Linked DNA regions of Rhinolophus ferrumequinum. The protein of the gene in region 1 binds, or shares a complex with, the protein of each later gene. Links are inferred from orthologs where the notes say so. Each region holds a gene or a part of one and is shown on either strand. Other genes may lie near its edges.

Region 1 (10,635 bases):
TCCACTTTGCTCTCCGTTCCTTTCCAGGGGCGTATGGGGGCCTCTCAGACCGCCCCTCGGCGTCCATCTCCCCCAGTTCCGCCTCCATCGCTGCCTCTCATTTTGACTCAATGGAACTGCTCCCCCCCGAGCTGCCTCCCCGCATCCCCATTGAAGAGGGGCCGCCAGCAGGGACGGGTCACCCACTCTCGGCCCCCTACCCACCCCCGGACACTCCGGAAACAGCCACAGGTACCCGAGGTGTGCGTGTGTTTCTGCCTCCGGGCCAGTGGCGCTCTACCTGAAACTCCTGTCCCGGGATCGGGTGGGGGTGGGGGTGGGGGTGGGGGTGCAGGGAGGGAAAGCTTGGCTTGGCTTCTCCCAGGATGGGGGAGGTTTCCCTGACAGCCCGCTTTCCCTCCCTCTCTCCTTCCTGAAGGGTCCTTCCTGTTCCAGGGGGAGTCAGAGGGCGGTGAGGGGGACCAGCCCCTCTCAGGGTATCCCTGGTTCCACGGGATGCTCTCGCGGCTCAAGGCTGCCCAGTTGGTACTGGCTGGAGGCACGGATGCCCATGGCGTGTTCCTGGTACGTCAGAGCGAGACGAGGCGGGGCGAGTACGTCCTCACCTTCAACTTCCAGGGCAAGGCCAAGGTGAGTGACAGGAAAAGGCTGTGTCGTAGCAGGCGCTCGTGGGTGGCGTGGGGGTCCCGGCGGTCCCCTGGAGTTGGGTGCTGTGATTGGCAGGGGCTGCGCCCCCCGCTTCACCGGGTCCGTCCCGCCCACAGCACCTGCGTTTGTCGCTGAATGAGGAGGGCCAGTGCCGGGTCCAGCACTTGTGGTTCCAGTCCATCTTCGATATGCTCAAGCATTTCCGGGTGCACCCTATCCCTCTGGAGTCCGGAGGCCCCAGCGACGTGGTTCTCGGCAGCTACGTCGTGTCCTCCCAGCGACAGCAGGGTGAGCAGAGCAGGTCTGCAGGGGAGGAGGTGCCCGTGCACCCAAGAAATGAGGAGGTGTGTGTGCCAGAAAGGTGGGGCTGGGGGGCGCGAGGAGGAGAGGCGTGGTTAGGGGGCGCAGGGAGAGGAGGCGCCGCCTGGTGTTGGGGCCGCAGAGGGGCAGGCGGCGGGCCGGCCGGAGCCGGGGAGAGCCTGCGGGGGCGGGGGGGGGGGGCGCATTCCCATTTCATCCGACTCCGCCGTGCCATCTGTCTGTCTCCCAGACCCATTCTCCCCGACGCCGCCCTTCCTCAACCCCCCCCCCCCCGTGGGCCTGCCCTTCTCGGGGCGCTCAGTCAGGTCCCCGCCCTCCCCTCCATGTCTGATGTCCCTGTCTGATCTCTCCCTTTGCCCCACCCCGACGTCCCATCTGTCCCCACGTTGCCCACCCCCAGGCCGAGAGCAGGCCGGGAGCCATGCAGGGGTGTGCGAGGGCGGTCGCTGCTACCCCGATGCCTCCTCCACCCTCATGCCCTTCGGAGCGAGTGACTGTGTGTAAGTGTGGTCCTCCTCTCACCGCCGCCCATGACCCATCTTCCATGGGTGGGGGGAGCTAGCACGTGGCTCTGGGGGTGTCGGTGGGCTGCTGCCAGAGCTTGCTTCCCCCCACAATCAGTCTGTCTTCTCACCATTCCTGTCCAGAACCGAACACCTCCCACCACCCACCCCAGCCCCCTGAACCCCCTTCATGGACAGATCCCCCACATCCTGGGGCAGAAGAGGCGTCGACGCCAGAAGTGGCGGCAGCAGCAGCCGCAGCAGCCAAAGAGAGGCAAGAGAAAGAGAAAGCGGGCAGCGGAGGGGGCCAGGAAGAGCTGGTCCCCGTGGTTGTATTGGAAGAGGCCGTAGCTCTGGGCCCGGAGGTCCAAGGAGGTGCTGGATCTGGTGGGGCCCCGGGGGCCACCCCGATGGTGCAGCTCCAGCAGTTACCACTAGGAGGCGATGGAGAAGAAGGGGGCCATCCCAGAGCCATCAATAACCAGTACTCCTTTGTGTGAGACACCCCACCCAACCCTTTCTCCACTCGTCTCGCTCCTGGCGCTCCTTCCTGAGACGGGCTGGGCGGGGGCAGAGAGGACTGGTCGGAACCCGCACCCCCCATGCTTCCTGACCCTTGGTGGCCGAGGGCATGTATGTTGTTACAAGAAGAGGCTTGAGAGCCCTGTTAGCTCCTGGTTCGTACACTACAGGTGCCCCGTCCCCTTGGTGGGGGGTGGGGCTCCATTACCTCCCTGAGGGGCTCTTCTGCTCAGCCCCGCCCCTGGTGGCCATGTCCCCATTACACACCCCCAGCCCAAGGACGGGTGAGGGGAAGGGCTGTCAGTTAAAATTAAGATGGTTGTTGTTGTTGTTTTAAACAAAATGGAGAAGCTTAACTAAATAAAAGGGTTTATCTCAGTTCCATCCTGGTGGCTGTGGCCTGTGTTTGCAGTGGGGGCCGGGCCAGGGGGGTCAGCAGGGGCCCCGGTCCTGGGCTTTCAGCCCACGGCTCCTCTGTGGGCTGTCCTGTGGGTAAGAGCAGAGCCACCCAGCGCTGTCTGGGGTCTCCAGCCACGTTCTCGTAACGGGACTCAATCTCCCAGGACCCCTCCTGCTCTGAGTTCTTCAGTTAAGGCTTCCTACCCCAGGGAGAAAACAGGCAGAGAGAGGTCATGGGGGTGGGCCTGGGGGCACGGGGCTGTGTGGGGAGACATTGAATGTGGCAGCCACAGAGTCTGGCGGCAGAGGGGCCCAAGGGCAGGCTGGCCACCCTCCTCAGAGCCACTCTGGGGAGCCGGAGGCAAGGTGTAACCACTGCAGCCTCAGTATCTTCATCTGGAGAGTGGGAAGTTTCATCTGGGATGGAGCTCGTGACTCACAAGGTCTGAAGGTTAAGTTCCTGAACTTGGGGCAACGACGTTGCTGACCTTGTTTTGATATCAGAGGGATTGTTCATTATGAATTTGTACCAGCTGGACAAACAGTGAACCACGTTTACTATTTGGAAGTGCTGAAAAGGCTGTGTGACAAAGTTAGAGGACCTGAGTTTTTCGCCAACAATTCATGGCTCTTGCATCACGACAATGCACCAGCTCACACGGTACTGTCTGTGAGGGAGTTTTTAGCCAGGAAACAAATAACTGTATTGGAACACCCTCCCTACTCACCTGATCTGGCCCCCAATGACTTCTGTCTTTACCCGGAGATAAAGGAAACATTGAAACGACATTTTGATGACATTCAGGACATCAAGGGTAATACGACGACAGCTCTGATGGCCATTCCAGAAAAAGAGTTCAAAAACGGCTTTGAAGGGTGGACTAGGCGCTGGCGTCGGTGCACAGCTTCCCAAGGGGAGTCCTTCGAAGGTGACCATAGTGATATTCAGCAATGAGGTACGTAGCACTTTTTCTAGGATGAGTTTGCGATCTGAATTGTCCGCCCTCCTAGATGGCCTGGCTAATGGAATTTCACATAAAAGTTCAGATGATTGGCTTCTCTTGAAAATCAGAAGGCAGCCTCGTGCTGCATCTGCCTCATCCCTGCCCGACCTTGTCACTCATGACGTGCCTGGCCTGTGGGTATTTGCGGTTGCAACGTCTGCTGCTCCTCCGTTTCCCCCCAGCCCCTCCGTTTAACCCAGGCCCTGCTCTCTGAATTGCGGCTCTGCCCTCCTCCAGTGGAGGGCGCCCCTGGGCTTCTCGGCTCTGCGGGTAATGGGCGCCCACAAGGAGGGGCCAGGTTCCCCAGACTCCCACCTGCTTTACGTGGCCCCCTCCCCTCCCCACCTCTGTCCACCTACCTCTGCCTCTTACCATTCTGCCTCCATTTCCCTCCCAGTCAGCGTGGAGCCTCCACTTCCACGCCCCCCCCCCAGCCTCTGCCCCCACCTCTGGGCCCTACCCATGCCTGTGACCTTGCTATTCTGGGCCTCGTGTCCTGTGGGGAGATGGACAGGAGACAGCTGGGCTCACAGGCCACTCAGGCTGTGGGCTCGCCTGGGGAAGCCTGCTGGCTCTCCCCGTTTTATCTAATCCCTGGGACTCCCCCAAACCTTGGCCTCAGGAGACGGGGGGGGGGGGGGGGGGGGGGATAGAATTGGCTTTGCAAAGGTGGAGATGCTTTGGGGCGCTGGGTGCGATAGTCTCAAAACGAGATGGCCCCTGAAGGCTGCGTGCCCGAGCGTAAGCAGGGCCTGATTCTCCTAATCTAGCGGCAACTTGTGTGTGGGCTCCCTCTTCCCCTAAACCCCGCCGGCCCTCTGGGACTCGCCTTCTGAAGATGGGTGGGGGAGGGGTTCAAGGGCCCCCCACACCCCAAGATTTGCATGTCTTGGCCGGAGGAGCCTAAGAGACTGCTTCTCTCCCAGCCTGTGGTGGTTCAGCTGAAGTTCAGCACTGGTCAGGGATTGGCTGGGCTCAGTCCGTGGCTCTCACAGACCTACTCGCAGCTTCAGCCTTCAGATAGGAGGGGAAAAACACCTTCCAACTCTGGGCCTGGAGACCCCCGTGGCGTGGCGTGGCGCGGCGCGGCGTGGCGGGGATCCACGAGCAAGGGCCTCCCTGCTCGGCCCCCTCCGGGGCAGTTCACACCCCCAGCCTCCCTGAGGGTGATCCTTCCGCGGCTCTTGGCTTTCCCCCTTTGGCGTCAGGTCCCCGCTCTGGGAAGTTGATGGAGGTAGAAAGGACTAACCTTAAGGTCCCTGTTGCCAGCAGCGTCCTGCAACGCCGGCCTCCTTTCCGCAGCTCCATGCGCTCCGCTCCCTTGAACCTGTGACCGGTCCAGCCTTCTCCCCCTTCTCCATGTTTGGGCATTCCTGCTCCCGTCACTCCTCCAGGTGCTGTCAGGGAGAAGCCAGCCGGCCAAAAGGCTTGGCAGATGCGGAGCCCGACTGGGGCCTAAGAGCTGGGGGGTGCTGGCCAGGTGGAGGTGCCTGGCCAGGTGGATGGAGACTCACGCCGTTGTCTGAGCCCCCACGGCAGGTCACAGCAGGACTCTGCTTCAGCGCAGGTTTTGTTGGAACCCTGAGGAGGAGGGAGGGAGTACCCTGTCTGTGTCCTCAGCTCACCCCGAAATCCAGGAGGAGAGAGGGATGAGTGGGGGGGCCAAATCCTTAAATGCCCTCCCCCCATGCTAGCCTCAGAAGTCGGGTTTCCCTTGCCTTTGCCCGCTGCCCCCTGTGCCACTGTCTGCGTAGCAGCTGGGCGGCCGAGGGAAGCAGCCTTGAGACCCAGTCAGTCAGTGGCCTGTAATCCTCACCATTTCAGGAAACTGAGGAAGGACTTGAGGTCAGGGTGGCGAGGCTGCTTTTCCCCTCACTGACCTTTCACCACTGCTCCACTGAACGTCTCTCCTCTCTCTGCCATCCTTCCCTCCCCCACCCACACCCCAGGCTACCCTCTGCTCCTGCTCCTCCAGCAGCTGCCCTGGTAATAACCAAAAGATGCCCCCATCCCAGAGCAGGGGTGGGGGTGGGGGGCTCGGAGCAGCTGCTTCTCCGAGGAAGCTGACACCAAGGCCAGCCGCTCAGTGACAACTTGTGGCTTTGCACCCAGCCCTGGGCCCCCACCCACCTGGCTGCCACATGCCAGCTCCCTGCTGTCCCTTTTCCCCACTGCTCCTCAGACTTCCTTCTGACCCTGGCAGCTCTCTCTCTGCTCCCCCAGCTCTGGTCTGTCCTTATTTCCCCCAGACATGTCCCCATCAGTCTGCCCTCTCCCCACGCCTTTGGCCTGGAGCCTCTGCTTTATCCAGCTTCCCCAGCACCCTTTCCTGGATGCCCCTTCCCTCCTGCTGCTTCCCACGGGGTGTGCCCAGGGCCTGGACATACAGCTCTGGTCCTCACTCCCCTTGAGCACAGATACTTCAGGGCCAGGTGGAGTGCAGAGCGTCATCCATGTGGGGTCTGCCAGGGAAACCCCTTAGGTTACAGAGAGCACAGTATGGGACGGAGGCGACCCTTCTTCCATGACTTGGGGTGACCCCCACCCCCATCCTGAAATGTTTATCCCTCCCCCTCTGCCATCAGCACATTCTGTAGCCTCTTGGGTTACCTTGCTGCCTGGGTATCCCATTTTCTTGCGGGGGGTGGGATTCACTGTTCGAGATAGGGGGGGCTGGAGGTTATGTTCCCAGAGGCTGAGTTAGAGCGATGTGGGGGGGGGAATTTAGGGGAGAGACAGGCAGTCCTGGCTTTGCTCGTCGGGCCTGGACACTAAATCCCCTGTTGATGGCTGCCGCAACCCCTCCCTAGGGTAGGGTTACCATCTTTACCCTGTCCCCTTGACCCCCTCCCTTCCCTCTTCCCCTCATCCCTCCAGAGCCACTTCCTTTGGCCCCCAAAGGATGTTCTCCCCCTCTTCCATCCCCCGAAGGTTGGAATAGCTCTGCTGCCCTTTCAACAAACTAGGTGAAGAAGGAGGCTGGCAGGTTCAGAGTGGACGAGATGGGACGCAGGGGTGGGGGGTGGGGTGCGAGGGACGTGCCCGGGGAAGGCCTGAGAGGAGAAGTGGGCTTATGGGGAGAACTGGGGGGATGAGTTTGGAACCGGAAATTCAGTGCAACTGAGGAAGCTGAGGCAATTGGGGGAGGGGTCCGTAGCAGAAGACAGAAAGTGAAGTCTCTCTGCCCCCCTTCCCTGGGGCTGGGGCCATCTTAGCTTCCCTCATGAGTGACATCTCAGGCTGCAGCCCCACTGTTCCCCCTCTGTCAGCAGAAATATCTCTCTCTTCTGACCCCTCCTGCTGGCGTCTCAGCCAGCCAATCCCTGATCTGGGGGAGGGGGGAGCCTGGCCCCCCCTACTCCCTCATAAGGGACCAGCTGGGGGCTGGGGGGTGGCCGGCTGCTACAAGTGGGACGGGGGTCAGAGCTTCGTGAAAGGAAGAAAAACCTGGGGGGGGGCAGGAGAGAAAAAAAGAAGAAGCCCCGACAGACAGGCAGGTGGACACACTGAGGAAGGCCCCCCACACGTGAGAACCCCCCTAGAAGAAACACACGGCCCCCTGGCCCCCAGGAAGGGAGCACAATGGAGGGTGCACACTCCAAGAGCACAGAAGAATGTTTGGCCTATTTTGGGGTGAGCGAGACTACAGGCCTTACCCCGGACCAAGTTAAGCGGCATCTGGAGAAATATGGCCCCAATGGTAAGTGTGGCTCGGAGGCTGGTAATGCCCTCCCGCACACGCGCAGCGCACACGCATACTCACACGCAGTCTCCCCCTCTGGGGTATCGTAGGGAAGAGCTGGGTCCAACGACTGCAGCCGTAAGAGGATAGGGAAGAGAATACGGAGAAAACGGGGTCCCTGAGACCCAGAGTTTTGGGAGGTTTTATAGGATGACCTTGGAGAACCTCAGATGCCCTTTCGATGGCCTGATTCTCTTACCTTAGCCACAAAATCCTGGGTGTGTGTGTGGGGGGGCATCAGACAGAACCCCAAATGAACATGTCCTTTTCTTCTTTTTCCCTGGGTAGAGCTCCCTGCTGAGGAAGGTAAGTTACCGAAATCCCTGAGCTGTCATAAATGACCCCCCTCCCCTCTGGGCTCCACTCCCTTTTCCCTGCCTCTCCCTATTCACTCCTGGGGCAAATATCCCTCCCCAAGGGTTTGAGCCGGGCTGGGGGCAGAAGTTTCCAGGCACTTTCTCCTTGGGCATCCAGCCCTTGAACAACTGCCCGCCACTTGGAGGAGCCCGTTGGTGGCGTCCTGGCAAGCTCCCTCTCTCACTACCAAGTGGTCTGCCCATCGCCCCACAACCATCCTGCTCGGGGCTGGAAATCAGGGCGCCCTCAGTCCCTGGCCCCCAGCTTGCACCTGGAGTCCCTGCTGTCCATCCGCTAGACCTTAACCCCGGGGACGCCCTCCCCTTGCCTCTCCCCCCAGGGAAATCCCTGTGGGAGTTGGTGGTAGAACAGTTTGAAGACCTCCTGGTGCGAATCCTTCTCCTGGCCGCCTGCATTTCCTTTGTGAGTGTAGTGGAACATCTGGGGGCTGGCTGCGGGTGCGGGGATCTGGAGAGGGTGCCGAGGGTGGGGAGGGCTCCAAATCCGAGGCCCCCCTCGTCCAAGCCCTCGGCATCCTATCCTGCAGACCAGAACTGACCGGGGTGGGGGGTGGGTTGCTGATGTGCGCCCTCTGTCCTCCCCACACCCCGCAGGCAGGTTTTATTTTAAGCTTTAACGGTGTTCTCAGCCAAAACACTGAAGCTAAGCCACCCCCCGAAGCTTCCAGGGCTCCGAAGGCTCGGGTTACCCCCTTGAGCGAAGGGCTCCCCAGCTCCGTCGCTGCGGCCACTCGGGGGCGCCACTACTCCCTGGGTGCCCGAGGTGCAGGCTGCGCCTCTCCACCAATCCCCGAGCCTCCTGGCGCCGCTGCCCCGCCCTCCTGGCGCTGATTGGTCGAGGCAAAGACCCTCCTAGAGGCGGGAAAGCTGCTGGTGCGAGGGTGACTCCAAAGGCTCCTGGAGGCGCAGACCCCTCACTTGTCGCTGGCCTTGCTTCTCTGCCCCCCAACAGGGCTGAAAATCCTGGGATCCCTTTCCTCCCCAGACTGGCCTGACTCTCCCCTTCCCCGCCCTCCCTGGGCCCCTCCAGCCTCAGCGCTGCCCCCGCCCGCTCCTCAGGGTCCTGCCACGTGTCCTTGCCTGGGGCTCCCTTGGGCGCCCACCGTGCCAGCAATCAGTCGATCCTGCCATGTGGAGTTTCTTCCTTAACATCTTACTCCTGCTGGAAAACAAGCCTCCGGAGGCAAAACAGTGTCCCTGTCCCCTGGTCTCCTTCATGTAGGCCTGTGGGCCCCTGAGCACCAGCTGGCAGGGCCTCACTTCTCCCTTCTCAGATTTGCTCCTTGACATTTGCCTGTGGCTGTTGCCTTTGCAACAGCTGGGGTGGGGTGGGGTGTGTACAGGAGGCCCCGTAACACTATCCCGCCCCCCTCCTGCTCCCTCCTGAAATCGGAGCTTCCCTGCCTCGGGCTGTGGGGGGAGGGCTGTGGGTGGGCCAGCCGCCCGCCTGCCTGCGCGGACCACAGGTTTTTTCCTATGGAGTTGTGGCTCCCCTGGGATGGATGTGGCTGTGTGGGTAGTTGGCCCGGGTGCCCCCTGAGCTTTGTTTACAAGCGTGCAGCTCTGTCAGGGAAACCTGAAAGCATTCCTCGGTAATCCCTGAGGGGTGCAGGTCTGTGCCCGCCTGGCGGTGCTGCCCATCCTGGAGTGTTAGACCGGCAGACCGACGCGCGGCTGCGCGCCCGGTGAGGCCTGGCCCTTTCTTTGCTCCTGCACGAGTTCTCACCTCCATTGGCCTTCTTTACCTGTTTAAGGGCCGCTCTCACCTGTGATTCTCCCTTCTCCTGCTTCCCAGGTGCTGGCCTGGTTTGAGGAAGGTGAGGAGACCGTCACTGCGTTTGTTGAACCCTTTGTCATCCTCTTGATTCTCATTGCCAATGCCATCGTGGGGGTTTGGCAGGTTAGCTTCCACCCCTCTTGGTTCCTTCATGTCCGGACACTGAACATGAGGCCCCCTCCCCCCACCCCCCATCACTTCCCTTGGGCTTGCCTTGTTCTCTGGTCCTATTGCTCAGTTTGTAAATGGGACGGAGTGTGGGCAACAGGTGGGAGCTGGTGTTCCCACTGTCACTTGCTGGCTGTAGAACTCTGGGCAAGTTCCTTCATCTGTCTGAGGCTCGGTTTCCTCATCCATAAAATGGGGCTAATAATCCTGTCCCTCAGAGTTGTGGTGAAATATAAAAAGATGATGAGTGTGAAGGTGCCTGGTGTATAGTAGGTGCTCAATAAATGCTAGTTTGAGTTTCTTCTTTCCATTACCTCACCACCCTCTACTTTTCCTGTCCCCTGCTTTCTGATTTTCTTTCTCTTTTCTTCTCTCCCAACCCCCCTAAACCGTTTTTGGCCGTAAGCAACAGGTTCTTGAACACATACACACCCCGACTCTCCTGGGTGGGGGGGTTGTCTACTCCCCTGCGTAACCTCCCTCTTCCTTGCTGGTGTCCCTGTTGGCCCCAGGACTCTGGCCCCTGCTCTGCCATCCCTACACCGCCTGCCCCACCCTCCCCTGCCTATCTCCTGCCCTTCCTCAACCTCCCTCCCTCTGATGACCTCCACCCTGTCCCGCCAGGAGCGTAATGCAGAGAACGCCATCGAGGCCCTGAAGGAATATGAACCCGAGATGGGGAAAGTCTACCGGGCGGACCGAAAGTCAGTGCAAAGGATCAAGGCCCGGGACATCGTTCCTGGGGACATAGTGGAGGTGGCTGGTGAGTGGTGGGCATGAGCGGTCCAGGACGGGAGGCCTCGGGTTCCAGGCCAGGACGATGTGTCTGCTGGGGGTGGGGGCTGGGCTTCTGGCGTCCAGGGGGTTGCCAGGCTGGAGGAGTCTTTGCTTCTCCTTCCTTCCCAGACTCCTCAGGAGGTCACCCCAGGGCACTGTGGCCACAGCACCCCCTCCCTGTCAGAGTCTCCGCAGGAACAGCCAGTCCTGTCCCTGAAGCTGCAAGCAGACCCCCACTTCCCCTCCCCTCACCCAGCACTTGCAAGCAACAGGTGGAACCCAGGCCCTGCCAATGGTCCCGTCTCCACCCCCCTCCTGAGGCCTGGCCTCCCCCCCCAAGCTTGGTCAGCCTTAAATCTTGACCTCTCAGTGCCCTTGAGGCCTCTCAAAGGGGAAG
Region 2 (10,550 bases), on another chromosome or scaffold:
AACCAAATAGGGGACATGACTCATGTTCTACTTTTACTCAGTGGTAAATAATTTTAAATATTTATATTAAAACAAATGTGGAGATGTTATAGGGAAGAATATATATTTGTGAATTTTGAAGAGAAAACACAAGACTTCAAAGAAATTTTGTGCTTGTAGTGGACTCTTCAGGCTACATCCCAGACCTCCTACTGGAATGGATTTATTCTCCATCTGCCCTTGGGACTAGTTTAGAGGAAAAGTTTGAGGAGCACTGAACCAATGGAATTATTTGAAACGTGACACTCTTAATTGACTTGGTTTCAAATCCTCAGCAGTTGGCGCAACTTGGCTTAGCTCAAATGCTAGAAATACTGTAACATTTGTCACTTCAATCCCAGCCAAGGGTCAAATGCAGTATCACAAATAGAAGCTAAAATAAGTTCTAAAAGTCATTTTTGTGGTTAACTTAACTTTATTCACATGATAGCTACAGGGGCTGACAAAGACTTCCTCTAACATTTCTTTCTTCTGGCAGGATGATTTAGAGGTTGGTTGCAGTGTGGTTTGAAGGGCTGTGTGGTGAGACGGTTCAGGGGCTTGTTATAGCTCTACATCATCATGCATCCAGTTTCACTTTGACCTTGTGGCTTGTCTAACACATTTGCCGTTAAGAGTTGGGGAATAAATCTATCACTCACTGGCAAACACTTGGCAGCCCTTGAGAGCAGCATCTTTAGAGAACATACAATTTATCCTAACACTGGAAGCACCTCAGATACTGTGAGTGCAGGTCAGAAGTGCCTTGAGGTACCGAGAAAGGCATCCCATGACAGCAGTGGGATCTCAGGGCATACAGCAGGCAGCTCTGGAGTGTTGCAGTCAATCCCAGGAGCGTGACATGCCGTCTCAGCTCTGATAGGACCTCACAAGGAGCCACATGAGGAGAACCGTAATCAGGACAATGGTGAAGTTGAGACACAGCTCCCGGGTGGAGTGTTCCATTCTCACAGTGGCTCAGTGAGAACCGGAGGCAGACTTCTCAGGGCACACCAGAGCCTCCTGCTTGTCCTCACCTCCTAACAGAATGTAACAAAGTAAAAACGAGGAGATTAATGAGCATTCCTTCCTCAAAGGAAATAGAAGCATTGCGGAAGAGGTTAGTGTTAGGAGCTGAATTGTGTCGCCCCCAGAATTCATATGTTGAAATCCTAAGCCCCAGTATCTCAGAATATGACTGTATTTGGAGATAGGGTTTTTCAACAGGTAATTAAGTTAAAATGAGGTCATTAAGATGGGCCCTGATTCAATTGAGTGGTGTCCTTACAAGAAGAGATTAGAACACAGATATGTACAGAGGAAAACAATTGAAGACAGGGAGGAGATAGATATCTGGAAGCCAAGCAGAGAGGCCTCAGAAAAAATCAACCTGCCAACACCCTGACCACAGATTTCTAGCCTCCAGAATACCTCTGGACTAGAGTTGCAACTCCTCCCTGGGTCTCCAGTCTGCAGCCTACCTGCAGATTTTAGATTTGCCGGCCTCCACAACTGCACAAGCCAATTACATCACACACACACACACACACACCCACACACACACACACACACCCTATTGGTTCTGTTTCTCTGAAGAATCCTGACTAACACAGAGAGACTGTCTTTTCTGCCTGATATCAAAAAGACCAACATAGTCCTGCTTTTTTTCCTGTAATGATTATATTGATGCTTTTGATAAAATACAAAATATTACATTTTTTTCTCTCCAATTTCTGTGTTTGTGTATGTGAATAGGTGTGTACTTGCTTTGCTAACTTAGAGTCACAGCAAGCAAGGTCATCAAAACAGAAAACAAATGTTATGGTTTAGTACTATTCTTGCTTTCAGTTACATATAGAAGTAGGATACCATAATTTTTCAGGTCTCAGGCCTGAAAAATAGGTCTTCTTCTAGCCCCGGTGAAAGCATGGAGTAGTTTGAACATCTGCCTGGCCTTTTATAAGCACTGCATTGGGCACAGAGCCTATTGGGGGTCAACTGAAAGTACCTCACATAACAGACACTCAGTCCAAAGAGCAAGTGTTAACCTCATGGGTACTTCTATTTCAACAAGGGCTTGTGCCAGCTATTTTTAGTCAGGTCTAGGATGTGCTCAGATTGTAAACACTTCAAAGAGCAGGGATGATATCTTTCTAGTTTGTACAGACAGTACACTTAGGAAATCACACTTGGACAACATATGCGATGCAGTCAGTCAAATTATTACCTTCAGTGATGTGGCATAATGCACACTTTGTGTATGTAAATTAAATGAAATTAAAGATTAAAGATAATATTTTAGATACTTAAAAGTCTCTTGTAGAGTAAAAACGTTCAAGAGGAAAGGGTGTTTTGTTCATTTGCTAAGGGTGGAAGTTCAGAGGACAGGAAGGGTTGTTAGCAAGCCTTTAGCCTGACAACCATCTAACCTGACTGAATTATTAATTGTAACAACTATACTTGTTGTATTAATAGTGGACCAAACTGTTAATTGTATAAACTAGATGAATAGTCATTTTTCATATTATTTCATTGTTAGTGTAACACACAAATTCAGATCAGATGGTGTCAACCAGTAGGTTGTTCAATCCTGGTTGAAAATATGGCCAATGATGATTGATTTATATTTTATTTTCCTTTTTATTCTTATCCATCTTTTGGCCCTCCACACGAAGTATGAGGTAAATCACCAACCAAAATCTTTACAACCAATTGAAGAAGAGAGTAAACAGAAGGAAATAAATGGCTAAATGACTAGAGAGAATATGTAAGAATGTACACAAGAGCAGGGGAGAACAGGAAGGTGATGAATCTAGGTAGGGAGCCTGGAGGCCAAAGAATGAGAATCAAAAGCAGACTCTTCCTTATGAATTTATTAAAAAAATCAAATCCTCATGCAAATGCCCACTCATTTGGATAAGTTCTAAAGAAATACTGAGATATGCAAAAAACATGACACTCTTTATAATGATCGAAACAACCCAGTTCAGGGAGGGCAAAATAATGGTCCCACCAAATCTGCGTTCGTTAGATTAAGCTCCTAAATAAAGGAAATCATGAGAGTGGCCCAACAGAAACATGCTGGGGAAGATGTTATTGAAAGCTGTCCACAATTCTGGTCATGTGACCTTCACAACAACTCCGTGACCTTCACACATCAGGCAAGTATTATTGTGATTTTTATCTCTCCCAAAATTACAGCTAAGAAAGTGGCTTTTACAAAGAGGTTAAATTGTTTGTATAATGACACACAGCGATTTAGAGGCAGAGCTAGAACTGGCAGGCTGGTACTGGTTTCTATAACAGAATTGTGATTACTCCATACGAGTGATTACAAGAATGAATCATTACGTGGTCTTTAGAAACTCAAGCACATATGTACGAGGATGTTCATGCAAGAATGGTCACAGCAACATTGTCTCAATACCTTAAAGCTGGAAACAACTCAAATGTTTATCAATAGTAGAATAGATGATAAATTGTGGTATGTTCATACACTTGAATGCTATAGAGCTAAGAAAGTATACGAACTATAACAGTACTCAAGATGGGTGGAGCTCATAAATATAAATGTTGGGCAAAAGAATTTACAAAAGAAACATAGAATATGATTGCATTTATACAAAGCCAAAAACAGAACTTAATCATATTGTTTGGGAATGCAGACATAGATGGTAAAATTATATATAAAGAGAAGCATGGGCAAGATTACTCAACAATCAAGATGGTGATTGCCTCTGGTGGGGCAAAAGGGAGAGGTGACCAGGAATGAACTTCTGGGGGGCTGGCAATGATCTGTTTCTTGACCTGGGTGATAGTTATATAGGTGTTGCCTTATAATTATTGTCAAACTGTATGTTTTATGCATTCTTCATGTTCTTTCCAGTAGTCTCTGAATTGAAAGACTACCCATCACACTTCTTTATTTCCTGTGGTTTACCTCTTACTATTTCTTGCACTTTGATGGTGAAGTTAAATATTGGTTGTTTTATATATTTTTTAATGAATAAAACACAAAGAGTTAAGGTGAGAATTTCTAATGAATCCAACTCAATCAACACATACTCTAACTGTAGAAGGTGGGCTTGACTTGACTTTCACACACATTTATACCAAAGGTAGGCAGAAATTCAGATCAGCAACCTTCATTTTTTTGCTGTTAACCCACAAAAACAATTTTGGCTTCATTTAAAATCTTTCCTGGAGTCAAAATCACACCATATGATCCAAAGCGATTACCATATGGATGAAATAAAAACCAAAAAAGCTCTGAATAAATTATTCAGACTTTCGTTGAACAGAGATTTTTCAGAAGATGGAAGACAGACTTTCCTCCATGATAAAAAAAAAAATGTTTTTTAAGAGAAAGGGAGAAAATGCATACATACCATGAGGTGAAAAAAAGGACAAGAATCGATATTATTCACTTTATATCTGAAGAAACACTGTGTACAACAAGCATAGCCTATTTCATTATGAAATGTAAATATTCCACTGCCTTTCTCATTTGTAACTTGTGCACACACATACACACACACTCCATGCTAAGCATGAAAGTCCTGCTGTTCCGTAAAGAGGGTCAAGAACACACCTGGCTGTTGTAGGTTTCTCCTGTCTTTCTCCAACGTGGGCTCCAATTCTGGCTCCACCTCTGGCTGGTCTTCTGGGCTGTGTGAACTCCTGGGCTCTGGCAGGGCCTAAAGTAGTCCCAGGGAGGTGGCAATCACTGTGATGTCACTAATGAAACATCTCAAAGGAACAACCTCCAAAGGTTTGAGGCTATTTGTGTTTAGGGGGACATGGAAATATATTGACTAAGACTCTGTTCTTTTGGCTGCAAATTTGTGTTAACACCGCAGGTACTTAAAAATCTTTTCTTTCCAATTGATTTTTGTTATAGTCAATGCAAGTTTTAATCTTTTACATCTTCATGAATACCTCTAACACGTGTTTAAAAGATCATAAACCAAGAGTGGTAGCCAAATATTTAAAAATCAATGTGGCATTTGGCTGCTCTCCTTACTCAGCATGTGAGGGTGTAAAATACGACTTCATTTTACTACCCTTTAGCTCTTTGAAATGTGAAGAGTTCTGCACCTCGTGCACACACATCCCAAACTGCACGCACACACCAGAATTCAACAGTCTTCTTCAGCTCCTTCCAAACTGTCTTTAGTCCAAGCAGTGAAAGTTATCTCCTCAGTCACCTGCTCTGCATACCTTTCCAGCTAAGCTGTATGTTGCAAGATTACACATTAATATACCGTTTCATCTAAAACAGCTGTGGAAGCCACGGTTTATATATCTCTGTCAGTAAACTAATACAGCAGTAAGCTCATACAGCAAAACTCAAAGTCATTTGGATAGATTGGAGGTAAAAGGAGAACTGTCAAAGCTAGTGAAAAACATGAGTTACCGGCTATATATCTGAAAGAAATCTAATTGAATAACTTTCAAATGTAAACACTGACTAAAACTAGACTCTTAAGATGAGTTTGTAATAAAAAATTCAGATGTCTGCTGGTAAAAGGAACCTGTGAAGTGTTTAACTAGACTTGAAAACACATCAACTAAGCAATTTAAACATGATTCCCCAAATTGTGTTTACTCAGCAAATTCTTTCTTTGCAGATAATAGAGCAAATCTCCCCTCTGAATTCTCAGTTAGGGTCAATCAAAATAATGCATTCCCACAAAGCATAAACAAATAAAATTCTCTATATAGTTGTGTTCATTGTCAAATCTTTCCCCACCCTTCCTGATACTCCAGAGACAGTACTGAAAGAAAGACTTTCCATTCTATTTCTTCATTTCAACATAAGCCCAATGATGGGTAATCTTAAAACAACATCCTGTCGTCACATGCCTTGTAAAAAGATAACTTGCTGAAGTGACAAATAGTACCTAATAATTATAGCCCAATCAAACACTTGCAGTTATTTGGTGCCATCTGGCAAACTCCTTGAATGTAGTCAGATTTCTGTCTTTTGCCTCCAAGCCCTTGCCAGATTATTTCAAATGCTAGGAATGTTTTCCTAGTAACCAAACCACACCTGTCCCCTTTTTAACCACTCGAAATTACTTTTTGTCCAATTAAAAAGATATATTTATTGTAAAAAATTTGAAAACATAAAAGTATAAAGAAAATTTAAGTTACCGCTAATCCCACCACCTAAAAGGGAAAAGACCCTTTATATTACTTTTTATTCATGTTTGAGGCTGCATCGATAACAATTTCAAATCCCAAAATATTTTTGGTAACGGCATCTGATACTTGAAAAAGTGTTTTTGTTTTTTTTAAATCACGTAGAATCAAATTATTCATACTATATACCATGGTTGGTATTGGGTTTATGGGACAAGTGTTTATTTTGTACGTGTGAAAATAAGAATTAGCTCTTAACAATAGTTAACACATTAACTACAATGGAGAAATATTAACATATCACAAAATAGCTTACCAATTTGTCAATTTAGTTGAATTGGTCAATTTCAATGTAACTTGGAGGAAAAATCCTACTGCTTATTCATGAGTCAGTTCAATTTGTCTATTTGGTTGTTCCATTTAAGTTTATCCAACATTATACCAGGAACTCTTGTGTCCAGTACACTGACAAATTCCCAGATAGAGACTTCAGAAGCTTCTGCATATTCATGGTTTATCATGGGATGTCATGAGAGAGTGGGATTACACTGGGAATTTAGCTTGTCATTAATTTGACCTAACCTCTCCAGAAAAATATGCAATCCACCCAAAGCCACCTGATAACTGTTCAAAGGCTGAAGGGAGAGAGTTTAACCCTGAGGATCCGCCAGTCCATTAAAAAGAGGAAAAAAAAAACAAAAACACGTTATTGTCTCTCATTTAAGAAACTGAGAATAAGATTTCAAATCTTATTGTGCCGAAGCAAATTCATCCCTTTCAGTCAACCTTATTTAATTGTACTGATACTTTCCCTTCTGTGAGCAATTCCCATGTCTTAACAGCATTCATTACATATCAACTTTCTTTCAAGGTGCTGCCTTGCCCATCAGCAGGAAGACATGCTAAATAATCTTTGACATTATTTCTGTGCCTATTAATCTAGAATTTAGCCAAGAGCCAAAAATGTCAAGAAAACGACATCACATTGACATTGGCATTGAGGATTTAATTAATATTTATCTCCTCCTCTCCCATCACCACCATATACATTCTTAGGTTCTTAGGTGTAAAACATTATATACCTTTTGAGAATCAATGCTGAGGTCTTGTGCCTCATTAAGAGCTAAACTAGCTTTTTCCATTTACTCCCCATTTCCATCCACCTTTTTACTTTGGGAAGCGAAAAGTGAAGATCTCATGTCAGTCCATGAATCCTGCAAGTCTGTTCCACAGTGGGAGCTTTCAGCAAGGCCTTCGTGAGCGGCGATAAGCTCTTAGCACATCACAGTAATGAGTGCGATGATCATGGTACCTTTCTCACCTTCACAGCCCCACATGCAGCTGCTCAGAATGCAAGAAACAGTTTCCTGCTACTCTCTTTCATTATCCTAAATACATGAGTACAAGCTCAGAGAAAGAGGAAGTCCTATTTCTTGAAGTTTTCTCCATGTCCTTGAAAAATTAATCATTATTATCTATATTCTTAATCACTTGTGGCACATACGTGATTTTGTCTCACTACCTGCATTTTAATTTCAAAGGCAGGAAGGGTCTCTTGTATTTCTTTTGTTTCTCTAGCTGCACACTGAGCCAGAGAAGAGTCATAAAAGATGCTCTAGAATGTATAGCAAGAGGCTCAGCTTGAGCCTCCATCACATCTCCTGCTGAGATCCAGACATATCTAAGCATGCCTGGCAAAGATGAGTGAGGGAAGTTGACATCAATATCAAGTCTACTAATAAAAGGGCCTAAAAGCCACCTGGGCAATAAAGCTCTGAAGGGAAGTGATCAAGACAATACTGTAGTTTAGCAACAGGGAGAATAGATGGTCATTTTATTGCAGTAACTCAAATTCAGTTTTAGTCCAGGTCCTGTGAGAAGCAAGATGGGACTAAATGTGCAAAAGGAAAATGTATTTGGGGGAATGCCTGTGAGAAAAAAATATGGAAGGAGGGAGGAAACATAGAATCATCAAACAGCAAGAAAAAGACAGGGAAAAGGACGATTGGGTAGCAGCATCCTAGGCTGCAACTCAGCTCTCAGGAAAGTTTGACAAGTCTGTTAGGAAACCTCAAGTCAAAGTCATCTGTCAGAGGTGCCCGGTGTCTCCCAGGAATGACTCGACCTTCCTGTTCCTCCCACACTCAATCATTGACTGGGAAAAACACTGGGAAATGTGGCCTCTGTGCAAACATGATAATGATCTGAGTACAGCAGCTGGGGTCCACCTCTATTATGGAGCAGTCAGGTCTGAGAGGCACATTCCCATGGCCATCATACCCACAAACTGCCCTCTTATTTCTCTACAGCTTGGAGTCTGGGTCCTAGGAGTAGAGAGAGCTATGGTTAAACAAACAAACAAACAAACAAACAAAAAACTACTCCATAACTCTTTTAACAACCTAAGGGTGTAACACTGACCGAGAGAGAGATTCTCCCTCTACCCTTGCCATTTCACAGACCCCAGCACATCCACGGAGCCAGCAACGTAATGTTCTTCCACTGAAGTATTACAGAGCCGAGCTGAAGCAGCAGTGCTGACCAAGATGTATTTGCAGTTTATACTAAACTGTGCAGGCATTAGTAGCAAATAGCAGAAGAGAGGAACTTGAGCTAAAGAGCAAGAAAGTGGGAGGCACTCCATGGTAGCCAACCATACTAGTGCGTGAGCACATGTCAACCACCCCCTGAAGTCTCTGGAAAAAATCGGGAGGAGAATTACAGGGGTTCGCAGTCTTGCCTAATAGCTGGAGCTAGAGCCAGAAAATTTTGTGTTAGTCCTGTTTATAATAGGCCATTTTAGTCCTGGATTTGTGAGGCGACACCTGTTAACTTCATCTGACTTGAAACCAATTAAATTCCTCTTCTCTGGAACAAGTGTATTTCTGCTCTATAATAAGATTCTGCAAATAAACAGCTTTCTGTCAGCACATTGAACATAGCTACTGTGAGAGGGGGGCAGAGGGAAAGCAGCCAAAACTGTGTTTACTACTAGGCTAATACCATCTGCCCTCAAAACACTCCCAGATTTCAGATTGGCTTTATTTCTCTGATGGGAAATAAGAATGCAGCAATCTTAACGTGCTGTTACTGAGCTGTTAAGAGTGATTCTGGCCAGACACGCCCACTTGAAACATTCTGTTCCTTAGTGAATTTGATCAAGGATATTTTGACTGAATTTCCTTTGAGAATCTGTCAGTCAGAATAACACAACTGCAGTTTCAGCAAGAATAAGAAGAATCAGATAAAATTGCTTGCTGTTCTCTGTGAACAAGTTCATTTGGCTGTAGCCTTTGGCTATTAAAGTAGAGAGAACAGAGTCATAAAGAATCATGAAAATCTATCTCTGCTCTCTGTGAAGGTAATGAGAAAACGGAAGTGCCTAGGTGCTGCAATGTGAAAGAAGCTTAGCTGGATGAAAGCTACAGGCTAGGTTTCCTTTTGGATGAGGGATGTGCTACCTCTGAGAGCAACTGGACACTCCTTCTACAGCCTGGGGAGTAACCTAACCTTTTACACTTTTACAGTAAGTGAATGTGGAGTTGCCAGGGGCTAGTATTCCATGAATTTGGGAAGCTTATCTGGGAGGGGTGGTTCAGGCCTATTCTCTTTAGCTTGCATTCTGCGGGTTCTTGCCCTTAATTGCCAGTGTGGAAGAGCAAAGGGGGCCCCCAGACCTCAGGCCAATTACATCTATGTCTTTACGGGGTATACCTTTTGTGCTAACACAAATCCAACAAGCTGACATCTTCTTCCTCATCTATTTTATCCCTCTTTTGCTAGATGTGACAGCCCTCACCAGGCACTTACATGGCAACCACTCCTACTGAGTACCGGGCACAAGGCATCACTGCCACTTCCTCTATGGACAATTGATTGAGTCTCCCAGTCGTCACCATGACATGCCTTGTCTGGTGCCAGACACCCTTCCTCTGCAGCCTCCCCTGCTGGGTACCACAGCTTTTGACCACTGGAAGTACCAAAGTTACACTTACTTCTGGAGCGAAATGAGGAGTGGGAGTGAGGAAGTATGCCTCTTTCTGTGCGTTACACCCTGTTGAGGAGTACCAAAGAAGTAATTCCTTGCTACCACTCCAGCATCTTCCCAGACATGAGTTCATGGGCAAGTTCAGCCAGGGAACACACAGAAGTAACAGGCATCGTGTTATATCAAACTCACTTCCCTCCACCGCTAAGATTTGATACTACACCAAACTTTTCCTTCTCTTAGGATGAATTACCTCTTAGGAGGTGCCTAAGTTCCCAGAGCAAATCAACTTCTATCTGGCCTCTTCCATCAGTACACAAGACAAGTGCTGACACATCTCGAAACGCAGCACTAGACGCAGCTTGGCTCAAGCTGAGGCCCTTCCCTCACCAGTGTCCTT

The links. Proteins that work in one complex are often made in the same cells at the same time.
Region 2: the proteins of ATP2A1 (region 1) and SLN are in contact, whole or in part, in a crystal structure (PDB 3W5A), measured with the Oryctolagus cuniculus proteins. The link is inferred for Rhinolophus ferrumequinum from reciprocal best matches to the Homo sapiens genes ATP2A1 and SLN. Residues at the interface, in XP_069919846.1 of Oryctolagus cuniculus: Phe88, Val89, Leu96, Ala100, Ile103, Val104, Trp107, Arg110, Asn111, Asn114, Arg324, Lys328, Trp794, Leu797, Gly801, Leu802, Thr805, Ala806, Phe809, Trp932, Ser936, Leu939, Leu943, Leu946, Ile947, Val950, Pro952, Leu953, Ile956; in NP_001075856.1 of Oryctolagus cuniculus: Met1, Glu2, Arg3, Ser4, Thr5, Arg6, Glu7, Leu8, Leu10, Asn11, Phe12, Val14, Val15, Thr18, Val19, Leu21, Ile22, Trp23, Leu25, Val26, Tyr29.

Annotation. Positions count from the first base shown.
Region 1 is NW_022680357.1:1,253,139-1,263,773, forward strand, and holds the start of ATP2A1 (sarcoplasmic/endoplasmic reticulum calcium ATPase 1), read left to right. Parts: upstream 1-6,772; 5' UTR 6,773-6,979; coding exon 6,980-7,097; intron 7,098-7,427; coding exon 7,428-7,445; intron 7,446-7,836; coding exon 7,837-7,919; intron 7,920-9,311; coding exon 9,312-9,416; intron 9,417-10,085; coding exon 10,086-10,224; intron 10,225-10,635. Other genes in the region: SH2B1 (SH2B adapter protein 1), read left to right, coding at 28-231, 419-630, 765-936, 1,617-1,972. UniProt on the Homo sapiens protein: Key regulator of striated muscle performance by acting as the major Ca(2+) ATPase responsible for the reuptake of cytosolic Ca(2+) into the sarcoplasmic reticulum.
Region 2 is NC_046294.1:76,577,045-76,587,594, forward strand, and holds SLN (sarcolipin), read right to left. Parts: upstream 4,704-10,550; 5' UTR 4,610-4,703; intron 1,059-4,609; 5' UTR 985-1,058; coding exon 889-984; 3' UTR 441-888; downstream 1-440. UniProt on the Homo sapiens protein: Reversibly inhibits the activity of ATP2A1/SERCA1 and ATP2A2/SERCA2 in sarcoplasmic reticulum by decreasing the apparent affinity of the ATPase for Ca(2+). Also inhibits the activity of ATP2A3/SERCA3.